Drosophila melanogaster: one gene and its partner. The gene in region 1 interacts genetically with each later gene. Each region holds a gene or a part of one and is shown on either strand. Other genes may lie near its edges.

The links.
Region 2: of CG1090 (region 1) and Pvr, changing one enhances a phenotype caused by changing the other (phenotypic enhancement), as found in Drosophila melanogaster (one study listed by BioGRID).

Annotation. Positions count from the first base shown.
Region 1 is NT_033777.3:4,358,267-4,365,895, forward strand, and holds the start of CG1090 (uncharacterized protein), read left to right. Parts: upstream 1-1,616; 5' UTR 1,617-1,701; exon of another isoform or gene 1,702-2,234; intron 2,235-5,011; 5' UTR 5,012-5,041; coding exon 5,042-5,242; intron 5,243-5,295; coding exon 5,296-5,530; coding exon of another isoform or gene 5,531-5,721; exon of another isoform or gene 5,722-5,950; coding exon 5,951-6,240; intron 6,241-6,299; coding exon 6,300-7,275; exon of another isoform or gene 7,276-7,435; coding exon 7,436-7,624; intron 7,625-7,629. UniProt on the Drosophila melanogaster protein: May function in the removal and maintenance of calcium homeostasis. Transports one Ca(2+) and 1 K(+) in exchange for 4 Na(+).
Region 2 is NT_033779.5:8,236,831-8,241,741, reverse strand, and holds the start of Pvr (PDGF- and VEGF-receptor related), read left to right. Parts: upstream 1-1,863; 5' UTR 1,864-2,050; exon of another isoform or gene 2,051-2,823; intron 2,824-4,911. Other genes in the region: Spn28F (serpin 28F), read left to right, coding at 49-887, 947-1,085, 1,141-1,277.

The sequences.
Region 1 (7,629 bases):
TATCTATCCAGTGCCTTGAAATTTTTCTTTATACTAATAAATGTATACTTTATTAAATAGTTTTAGTGGTCAAACCTATTCAATTGAGCCAACAAAATGAAGATTTTTTGTTGTTTTTGAAAAAAAAAAAAAAATAAAAAAGAATATAAACACAAATTTAAGAGATCAGAAACTTTGCTATTTAACAAATGACTGATCTATTCATACATACAAATTTATTTCGCTTAAATCGGATTGCATATAACTAAGTTACAACGTTTCAAACCTAAACAAATAGTCAAACCTATTCAGTTGAGAGGCATTCGCATGATGCCCGCAGCACGGAGTTTAGCCGGCGCCTTAATTGGGATTCATGGCCATCATTCTTGCTGAGTTCTTTTAATTAACATACTCTTCAATGTAATAGGACGACGATTAAAGCAGTTGTCATTAATATTCTTCTTAGCAAAATTAAAAGCCATGCCTGCTCAACTTTTCTATGGCAAGAGATATACATTACTTACCTATGCATTTATTATATTCATTAAAAAATATCTTGAGGTAAGCTGGTCCTAGCCACACGTTAACATAAAATGAAAGTGATATATTTTTCGTTGAACTGTCCACGAAAGAACATGCGCTGTTTTTTCGTAGAACTGCAAATATTTCTGGAGTTTGGCAGACAGTCTGGCATCTTTATGAACCCTAAAGATCCATCGACTAATAATTAAGCCATAACCTGTTACAATTGAGGAACTGTAAGCCGTCATATTTCTTGGATGGGCTCAGTAGTCTCCGGAGCGCTCCCATTAATTAGACGAATTGTCTATTTGTAGGTGTCAACAGGTAAATTTGTCATTGTTCAAGCGGTTTTTTTGTAGGTGACGATTCAGAAGGACGACGGAGACATGTCCTCTAAAGAACTGTGTTTTCGCAGAGGCATGCTTAGCTAGCGGCAAGATCTGAGAAAGCGGCAAGTCACGTTGCACATCTAAAGGATAATGTGGCAAAATCCAGACAAATGCTGTCCTTAGCGGCACTTCAAATGATGCGCTGACAGAGGTTGCTTGTTTGCTGTTTGACTATGCCATCGCAATTGACGTTTGATGGCTAGGCTGTGCGCAAATAAATAATAATCAAACAAATACATATGTACTACAATGCTATCCCTCGTTATTCTTAGGCTTGAGAATTTCTCCATAACAACCCTGCACGAGGAGCTTTGCTATCGATATAAAATTGAAGTGGAGGAATATATACATACATATCATTGTATGTATGACGTATATCATACATATCATAATTCAATTGTGATATCTCTGAGTTTTTCTTATTTTATATTTCTTACTCCATTCGAAAGTTTTTCCATCCAACAGCGAAAAGTTAGTTAAAATGTTTCAATTTGTTGCCAGCTTATAATTTCCACGGACCACGACTTGGAAAGCTGTCTATAGATGGCGCTACCGGACCACTCACTCGCACCCACAACCACCACCCCCACCCACACCGAAGCCATTTCCCAGGCGTCGCACTTTCTTATTTCACATTTCCGGCCGAAGCGTTCGGCTGTGGTGGATTGCCACTGGTGGACGTCCGCTCCATCCGTGCGAAGTTGTGCGGTAGACGACGACGCTGCATCAGTTCGCGCTCAGACGTCATCGGTGGAAAACCAGGCCAGCTCGATCCACTCTAGCCGTGTCTCGTCTCGTTTTAGTCCGTGAGGTACTCGATTCGAACCGCATATACTCGTCCACGTTCGCCCGGCGAGGAAAAGGGCGAAAATCATCGATTGTAAAATGATATGCTAGGCGAAACCCTACTTCAAAGCCCCCAGTGAACCGAGATTAAGTTAAAGGCCTATGGATTAGTGGAGCTGGCCAAGTGAACTCAACTCTCCGCCTGATTCCTCACATGTTTTCCAAGGCAACTGTTTCTTCTGTATCTGTTTTCCGTTAAAAATTTAACTACCGCCTGCAATTAACGAGCCCAAAAGTCCGCGGAGAGTGAACCTAGAGCAGCGCCACCAGGCAACAGTGAAAATGGTAAAAAGTGATTATGAAATGGGCCACAAGGTGCAGGCCTAATCCGCTGAGCCATGTTTATGCACATCCTTTGCCTTAATGCAAATTGCAAGTCAATTGTCACCCCTCGACTCTTGTTGAAGGAGCAGAATGGGGCAGAAGCAGAAGCAGCGCATTTGCTTTTCTATGCCCCATTGTCTTGCGCCGCTGAAGTAAAATACGAACGTGTATGATGTAAGCTCAGCTACCACAGCTTTTCTTTCCTCCCAGTCCGACGCCACTGTCCCCTAGTCTATTAAATAAGCATAGTCATTTATTTTTATAAGATGACGCCGTCATCGTGGATTCCTTCCCCCTCTTCCCATATCTCTCAGCAGACCCGTGGAGGCAACAACAGCATCACCAGTAACAACAACGGTAACTAACGGCAAAAGTCAACCGAAAACCACTGCGGCACTCTTGCAACCTTACCCAACAGCAAGCGGGAGTAAGGGTGCTGTCAGCGCAGGAGGGTCACGGGGAGAGGAAAGCGTAACTGTAAATCGATATTTTGCGGCATGACCGAGTGGCCCGAAAGGGGGGCACTGAGCTCACGGAATGGTGTGGTGGCTTTGGTTTCGTTAGTCACTCAGTCATACTGACGCCGCCAAGACCTTCGCATCACGCCCCACACTCCTCACGATGCTATCTCTGTATCCCAGGGCCGGTCGTGTTTAATGGTGAACTCCCCACTTGCTCTCGCTGCTCCCTCGCGCTCTCGCTCTCTCTTAAGAGAGAGGGAGAGGAGAGTCCCGACGCTCGGGAATTTGCTTTAAGTGTGCGCTGTTATCACACCAGCAGCAACAACAATAACAATATCAACTTCAATTATTCAATCACATCTGCGTTTATAGATTATAGTGGATTCAGCATTGTCAGAACTCTAGAAGTTGGGAGACAAGGTCCATAGTGTCAGATGGTATAGAAACTCTAGTGCACAATAAGTGCTGTACTTTCTCTTAAACAATGAAATTACTTAAGCATTCATAATTCTGTGCTCCCTAATATGTTTTTATGTTCATACAAATGTATGTAACTTTTCCAAACGTTTAGAGTCTAAGACAAAAGTGGCTTTAATGTTGAAAAAGAGCTGCGTTAAACTGGCCTCAAAATAAAAATTTTTCGAACCCTTTTTTTTAACATTGCAGAGGGCATTTTAATTTGAGTCAGTAGCTTGCAACGCAGCAACTAAGATATTTGCGAGCATATAAAGTATATATTCTTGATCAGTATTAACAACCGAGTTTATATGTCTATGTCCGTCTGACCAAACGTTTTTTCTGCACAAAGCATTCAACTTTCTGCTTTCTATTGCAGGTTTTAAATATACATATATTCGAATCGAAACACTATATATATTATATGGTTTCCATGGAATACCGGGGAAATAAATGGAAAAAAATTTGCATCGGTGGTTTCGATTATAAAGTGCTTTAAATAAATAGGTGAGCAGGTTTACTATCTGCTCCACCTAGTCGTCTGGTCTTGTTCGTATAAACGCAGTGATATCGGGAACTATAAAATATACAATGTTGAGATGGACACCATTTTAATTTATTTTCGGCATTTTCAATCGCTATGCTGACAAAATATATGAATATACATATATGAAATATCATTTTTTCACTTCTACTAACTGGGTAAAGCGTATCGGACAGTCAGGGGAAGATTTATGTATGTATGCACACCTCCTGCATTGGATCTACATACCGAAAATTGAAAAGTATGTAACAGGCAGAAGGAAGCGTTTCCGACCATATGAAGTACATATATTCCTGATCAGAATCAATAGCCAAGTCGATCTAGCCATGTCCGTATGAACGTCGAGATCTCAGGAACTATAAAAGCCAGAAGGTTGATATTAAGAATACAGATTCTAGAGCAATGTTTCCACGCCCACTCTAACGCCCACAAACCGCCCAAAACTGCCAAGCCCATACTTTTGAAAATGTTTTGATATTTTTTCATTTTTTTTTAAACAATTTTTAATTTTTTCTAATTTTTATCACCAATAACTATCGATATCCCAGAAAATTATGAAATTTCGAAGATCTGATAGTCGAGAAGTCGACTATTGTATTCTTTATTGTTTTTGTCGGAAAATGTAATATAAACATACAAGGTAAAATTCCAGACAAAAGGGCTTAAAGCTTAGGTAAACTTGAGTTTTGGTAAGAAGATATGTATGTTCTTATATGAATATTTTGTGTGGTTGGCCTTACTGTAGTTCAAACTATTGTATGTAGGTGTCACATTTCTACCAAAGAGCGGCAGACAAAGCTGGCTTGTGCAATAAGCCAACCACCATACCCCAGCATAAAAAATCTTAGTACTCCATTATTTCCTTTCCAAGCTGTTATTTGTACACTGTCAAATGAGTTTGTTAGTTTGTGTCAAATTAACAAACACTGATTGATAAAGGAAATCGTTTTTGAAGGGATATCACAGATTAAGTATTTGGTCATTCCATTATGCGAAGCTTTTCTATATATAAAACTCAAAGAATGTTCTTATAATAAGCCTTAATCGGACAGTAAACTTTTTAACTCTATTTATACCATTGCAGGGTGTAAAATGATTTTCAGTCTGAAGTTTGCTACACAAGACTATTGTGATGTTGGTAATATCAAGACAATAGAATAATATTCTGGCGTCTTTGGTAATATAGACAAGTCATGCTCAAATACTCAAAATTGATCGTTTTCATTAAAGAAACGTCTATACCATTAATAAGTAGTACATATGTTCACCTTATCACATTGATGGGAACCAGCTTGGTCTGTTAACTCTTTAAAACCTAGGGTATGTCCCAAAGGCTACCAAAAACATTTATTAAATGAATTCTAGAATTAATGATATATTGAAAGTAATGGAGAGTTATCACGTTTTTGTTTAGAAACATGTCGTTTTAGTGGCCGGAATCGAACATCATACATATGTAAACCGCGCTAACCTAAATATTTCCTTTGCAGATTGTACGCAGTCGATCCCGCCGTGCCCGCATGTGGAACATGGGGCTGCTGTTCTTAATATACTATTGCGTCAGCATCTACTCCGCCAAAGGAGACACCAAGGACGGACAGGTCCTGCCTCTGGATGTGGGCGCTCTGGCCGAGGACGCTGGCGATGCCGAGGCCAACGGAGAGGATACTCCAGAGAGAAACTCAGAGAGTTCCGTTCTGGACACAACACTGGCGTTTGAGGTACCGTGTCATAAAGATCCACGACCACTTAGGACTAAAACCTTCTCCGATAGCCTCAGGCGAGTACACAATCGACTCCCATTCATGGCGCGGTTCCCACCTGGCGCCCAAAGCGGGACAACTGCACGCCCCCGGCTATCGAGCAGTTTCCACAGCCGCTGATGAATAAGTGGGCGCGACAGCACGGCGGCCTTATCCTCCACATACTGGTGGCAGTCTTCACTTTCTTCGGGTTGGCAATAGTTTGCGATGAGTACTTTGTGGCCAGTCTGGATCGGCTTTGCGAGGGTGAGTCCTCAGCCAAACAAAAAGTGGCGATCGATACTTTAGCATACAAAATTGAATATCAACTTTTCGGTTGTGTATTTAGAAAGGCAATCAATTTTGCATTTGAAGAAGCGTCGTGGCTTGTTTTTTACCTCGCCATGACCACTCGTTATGATCAACCACTGCAAGCTTTAATTTCTTCGTGTATGTAATGTATTTATTATGTATTTTGCCAAAATATTGATGGGTAACCCTTTATAACCGGCCCAGCCACAGGCGATTTTATTTTTCGATCACTGACAGGCACCGAAGTGATAATGGTTATATGATCACATTTTTTCTGGCGAGGTGTGAATACTGAAATATTTTAAATATTCAACTATTTGGTGCAGCAAAAGGATTATTATAATATCCGTCACTCGTTTGTTTATTCCATTTAAGAGCTAAAGCTATCGCCAGATGTTGCGGGAGCCACGTTTATGGCTGCCGGAAGCTCGGCTCCTGAACTGGCCACTGTGGTGATAGGAGTGTTCTTTGCTAAGGACGACATCGGCATCAGCGGGGTCATCGGATCGGCCGTTTTTAACATTATGTTCGTGATCTCTGTCTGCGCCCTGTGCTCGGGTACCGTCTGCCAACTGAACTGGTGGCCCCTGGTGCGGGACTGCTTCTTCTACTGTGTTTCTATTCTTGTAATGTTAATAATCATCTTCAATGACGTTATATCATGCGTAAGTTACGACCAAATAGAAACCATCGTTATCGTCATCTGATATCCTTTTTTTTTTAGTTTGAGTCCGTCGTGATGCTCCTCTGCTACGTAGGATACTGCGTGGCCCTCCATTTCAATACGGAGCTGGAACGCTGGGCACTGGGTCTGAATTTACCCTTCAAGCTACCTAGTAAGGAAGAGCAGTCAGCACTGGTAACCTACAAAAATGTTCCAGAAGGCTCCTACACCCAAGAAAGTGTCGGCCAGACCCAGGGACAGAAGGCCACCGATGATAGCGAGACCAGAAGTGCGAAGCCGCAAAGCGACTACCAGGACTACAGCGATCCGAATCCGACATGGGACCCGAACGCCGCATGGGGAGATGAGAGCCAGCCGAATCCAGTGGCCAATCCTCCGCCCGTTGACGACTGGGGAATGGGTCACAGTGGTCAGGAAAACATGGGCTACCATGCCGACCAGCCCGAGTCTGTGGTAACAGGCGATGGTCCACCTGCGGCCGTCAAGAGTGGTGGCCAGGTTGTGTCTACTCAGGCCACCTCGGCCGGAGGCAACGACTACTACAAGTCCACGGACAAGCAGCGAGAACCGCGCCGCGATCCTCTACTGCGTCCCATGGAAGGAGGGCTGCCAGCTCTGGTTTCCTGGTACGTGGTCTACCCGATCCACTTTCTCTGCAAGAAGACGATGCCGGACTGCCGGCAGGAGCAGTATCGCAACTGGTACCCCTTCACCTTCCTAATGTCGATGGTGTGGATATCGTTCTACTCTTACTTTATGGTGTGGATGATCACCGTGATTGGGTCCACGCTTGCCATTCCGGACACCGTAATGGGTTTGACGTTTGTGGCCGCTGGCGTGTCTGTCCCGGATGCCCTAAGCTCAATAGCCGTTATCAAAGAGGGCTTTGGCGACATGGCCGTGTCGAACGCTATAGGCTCGAATGTCTTTGATATACTAGTGTGCTTAGGTCTTCCCTGGTTCATACAGACGGCCATCATTAAGCCCGGCTCGCACGTCAACGTAATATCCAAGGGTATGTATTGCTTGCGTGTCTATCTACCTTGTAGTCATCGTCGTGTGTCCTTGGCATGAGAGTCCTAGGCCAAGTAGCAGCGCTCGTAATACCGTTCAAGTCTAATCCTTAGGTGCTATTTCCCTCTCCTGTCTGTTTTCCAAACAATTTCGATTTTCAGGACTGGCTTACTCCACGCTGTCGCTCTTCTCCACCGTCGTCTTCTTAATTCTGTCGACGCACTTGAACGGATGGAAGCTGGACAAGCGACTCGGCATAATTCTTATGGTCTGGTATTTGTTCTTCATCACACTGGCGTCGCTTTACGAGTTAAATGTCTTCGGCTACATGAACCCACCCGAGTGCCCCAGTTAG
Region 2 (4,911 bases), on another chromosome or scaffold:
ATAAAATACAAGTTAATCAAAGAGGAATAGGTAATAATTGCAACGCAGGTCTGCTTCTTTTGGCCACGTCGGTATCTTGTCGCTTTGCCGACGATTTCTACCAACTTTTGGCCAAGGAAAATGCGGCCAATAATCTCATTTCCTCTCCCCTTTCCGTGGAAATCGCACTGAGCATGGCCTACATGGGAGCCAGGGCAAAGACAGCCCAAGAAATGAGGAATGTTTTGAAACTGCCCGATGACAAAAAGGAAGTGGCAGCCAAATACAAGGACCTTCTGAGTAAACTCGAAGGACGCGAGAAGGTAGCCACTCTCAGTTTGGCTAATCGCATATACGTGAACAAAAAGTTCCAGCTAGTACCGAGTTACAATCAGATGGTCAAGGATTCATTTATGGCTGAAGCGGAGGCAATCGACATTGTCGATCCCAATAAGGCTTCTTCAATTGTCAATAATTGGGTAGATAATCAGACGCGTGGTAAAATCAAAGACTTAGTTTCATCCAATGACATGTCGAAAATGGAATTGATCGTCTTAAATGCCATATACTTTAAAGGCCAGTGGGAGTACAAATTTAATCCCAAGTTAACGAAGAAGAGGAATTTCCGTGTTTCGGATCAAAAGAGTGTTCCTGTCGAGATGATGTCACTATTTCAATCATTTAGGGCCGCACATGATAGTGAACTGGGTGCCAAAATTATCGAGCTGCCCTACAGAAATTCAAGCCTGTCCATGCTAATTTTTCTACCGGACCAGGTCGATGGACTATCAGAGCTGGAGAAAAAGATTGTAGGATTCAAACCGAAACTTTCCAAAATGGATGTAACTTTAAGGCTTCCCAAGTTTAAAATCGAATTCTTCGCTCAACTAAACAAAGTTCTTGTGGCGGTGAGTATTCACAGATTATTCTTGATACACCCTTACAATTTATAGATATTCATCTATAGATGGGCATACAAGATGCGTTCGAAAAATCTGCTGACTTCAAAGATCTGGTCGAAAACAGTAACGTTCATGTGAAAAAAGTCATTCATAAGGCGTTCATCGAGGTTAATGAAGAAGGAGCTGAGGCAGCGGCTGCAACAGGTATGATATAATTTTATTATATATATATTTGTATAATATGTTTTATTTTTGCCAGCTTTACTTTTCGTGCGCTATAGTATGCCTATGCCGTCATCTCAAATGGTTTTTAATGCCGATCATCCTTTTGCCTATGTCATTCGCGATAGGGAAACCATTTATTTCCAGGGCCACTTTGTGAAACCGAATGAATAAAATGTACTATTTCTTATCAATAATAAATGGAAATTGTATTATACTTTATTGTAGAATAAAAGGATTTACCAGTTTCCTGAAAATATTTAATAGGTGGAAAGTAGTGAAAATGCTATAGTCGAGACCCTTATAAATCACAATCCCCTTACTCAGCTGACAAATCGTTAGAAATGCTTAAATGATACTAAATATTATTTAATAAAAGAAAACTTTATTTTAAGCACTTCGATCTAAAACTAAAACCGTTAGGAAATTTAGTACGCATGGCATCACTGGCCGCCACTGGCCAACTGGAACTGTTTTCAAGCGGTCTGGCATCGCCGCGAATAGCGTGATTGCGTTCAATTTTTAGCTCGTTATTTAGTACACTTCACCTTTCAAAATAATAATGAAATAATAATAAAAGGAAACTAAACGAGAGATAAACTCCCTAACGAAACAAGAAAATTCAAATGATGTTGACTAAAGATATAACAAAAATATTATTCTATCCGTTCTATTCTACATGCTGTAGATAACGCTCATCGATAGCAAAAAATAACAATCGAATCGGATACCTCGATAGTACCGTCGATAGTGCCCCAGCTCTAGTTAACGTTAACTTTTCGAGCTGTTCGGACGTCAAAGCGGAAGGAAATTTCGCGGGCTTTTGACTTGTGTTCGGTGCAAACTGTTCAAACTTTGCCGACGACGCAGTATTTATTGTCTTTCAAGAGCAACCGATACTGCTGAAGTGCCCCACGCAGAAAGTGTTAAGCACAGAAAACCACAACGTAAGCGTTAATTTTTGAAAGGCTCGAAGATACGTCCGATAATATAGATATAGAATCGTGTGGAAACGAAACCAAATCGTGTCGTATATAAGTATAAGTGAAGCATCAAAGGTGCTAAGCAAATGAATCCGCACTCAAAAGTTTAGATATCGATGTGAGCGAACCCCCACACCTTCGCAAAAGTAAAAAACAAACACAGATACGAATCGGAATTCGAATACAAGTGCAAACTCAGCCACAGGTGGTTGACAAGAGTTCTAAGTGATTGTCAATCGTAAGCTCGAAAATCGAAATCGAATTCGGCGCTCGTGATGTTGCTCAATTCGATGCAATTATACAAAAAAAAAACACCCAAAATAGTCATGGTCACTATGCTCCTATAGATGGTGTACATAATGAACTATTATCAGTGACCTTTTTCTAAGTGCGTGTGTGTGTGTGTGTGCTATTATCACTGCCTGGTATTATTCATTGATAAGTGCATATAAGTGTTGGGTCTACGAAAAGTGTGCGTGTGTCTATGGTGAATACGTCAGCGGCATTCCAAGTAATCAAGACTGCAAACATCCACCGGTGCCAGGTATTCAAATCGTGATTCATCGCCGATCGTGACTGTTGTACGTTCAAAAGTTGTTGTTGTATCTTCAATAGTTGTTGTTGTTGCCAAGCTGCTGCGATCAAACGGTAGACTGCGTAAGACTATGAAAATATGAATAACACTACGATGGATTTCGAATTTACTCATACTGCTTTTCCAGAAACACCCAAATAAAGTTGGTATATATACATATATATGTACATATATATATAGAAGAAAGGGTTCACCTTTCTTTTGTTTGCCTGGTCAACTGAATGTGTCTATAGCGACTTTCTTAAACCGGTTCCACGCCATCCGTTTCTTGACCAAACGAACTGTTGATACATTTTCCCCCAATACGTGACTCAGGATCGAGAAGTTCTGATCAAATCAGATGCCCATAATTCATTGCCTCCAATTGCACACTGTGCCCAATTTGTTTATTGAATACAGACCTCCTTCAGTTTGCCGACTGCTCCATTTATCTCTGGCCACTTCAAAAGGCTGCCCAGCCCAGGCTGTTGTTAATTGCCATCGTTCTCAATGTCCGGAAAATGTGGTACAAAACTGCTACGAATCGTCAAAGTTTGGAGTCATAAAAATGTCCGCGAATGGTGTTGATGAAATATTTATTGTAATTCCCCTGGCCAAATTCGCAATTCACCTGGCATCAAGCGTTGAACAACTGTTGTGATAAGCCAGAATAATCAATGGATACTAGTGGTTCTTGGAAAATGTGCACCCATCACATTGCTACTGGCCACTTGCACCTCTTTTTCACACCTACCCATTATGCACATGGCACATTAATCAGGTGGGGCTTATGGCCAAGTATCCACCAGATACGCACACCTGCCCCGCCCCCCGCAGTGGGTGTCAAATTAGAGATACTTTACTGTAGTTGATTGTGCTGAAGTAGAGAGCTCCATTACGAATAAATTACTTTGTATGCACTGGAAAAAATGAACAAAGTAGTTCTTTCGCATTAATAGAAACTAATTATAAATACACACAAAATATTTAAGCAGAACTCGCCGAAAATAGACTTCAAAATAATCAAAGAATGTGTGTGACAACGAATTTGTGTGCATTTCAAGCGATTGTAATATCTCTAGAGATATTTAGAATGCTGATATGTATTATTGCACAAGAGATCTTTTTAATCTCAAGAGGATTGCTTATGCACAGAAGATTGACTTCCTGTTGTAGATAAAAACACTAGAATTGAGTTTAGGTACATTTTGTACATCTGTAGAGAGAAAAATCATTTTGCGTTTCTCTAAGGCAGTTCGGATAAGCTGAAACATTTTTGAGAAACCCCTTAACTCTTTGGGCGAATTGGCTCATAAATTTCCATTTAAGATAATATCTGTTTAATTGAATTTGCCGGTTACCAATAAGCCATAAATAAAACCGATTCGTTGGACAATCTCGGCCAGCATTGAACACGTTTTCACACCACTTTGTTGGTTGGCTGGCTGGTTGGTTGGTTGGTTTGGCATTCTATGAATGGACACCTTCGCCTCTTTACATCCGCCGTGGTCTGAGTCAGAACGTAAATAATAAATAACAAATAATAAATTGACAGCGGACAACAAATGTTTTGGCCAGGCCATTGTAACTGTCTGCATGGAGAGGTGGAAATAACTTGGCCATAAATCTGCAAAAAAAAAGGCTAAGCAGGCAATTGGCTTTCACCTGAGCCCTAGACTAAAGCCCATTCATAAGCGCTGGAAACTTTAGACTAAAGCCCATTCGTTGGGAAAATTTTATCTGCCCCATAAACTGCACGTAATCAAGTGCACTTCGGAGAATCAGGGAAATAAGAAAATATATGTATATATATATATAAAAGCAATCTTATTTCCGTCGGGAATAAAATGGCAGAAGGCAGCCAGCCAGTCAAAACAAAAAATGCATTGAGTAAACAAATCGCATAAAATTGAGCCATGTTTTGAGGTCACGGCGAGGCACTAAATGGGCTATATACATTGGCCATATTTATTTATTAATCGGGCGAAACCCAAAACAAACAAATTAAACACTTGTCGGCTATTAAGTGAACGCATATAACATTTCTATTTATTCGCCAGCAGCTGGCCAACCAACCAACTTGTTGTCGCCACGCGTTGTAGTTGTATAATATGTGGGCAGAATGCCAACGATTCAATTTCACCGGCAATGGTCTTTCTATTATTTTTATTAAGTTCCCAGTTTATGGAAAAGAAAAGAAACAACTTTTCCAAATCTCTCGAGTGACAACTGAAGAGTTATACAACCGAAA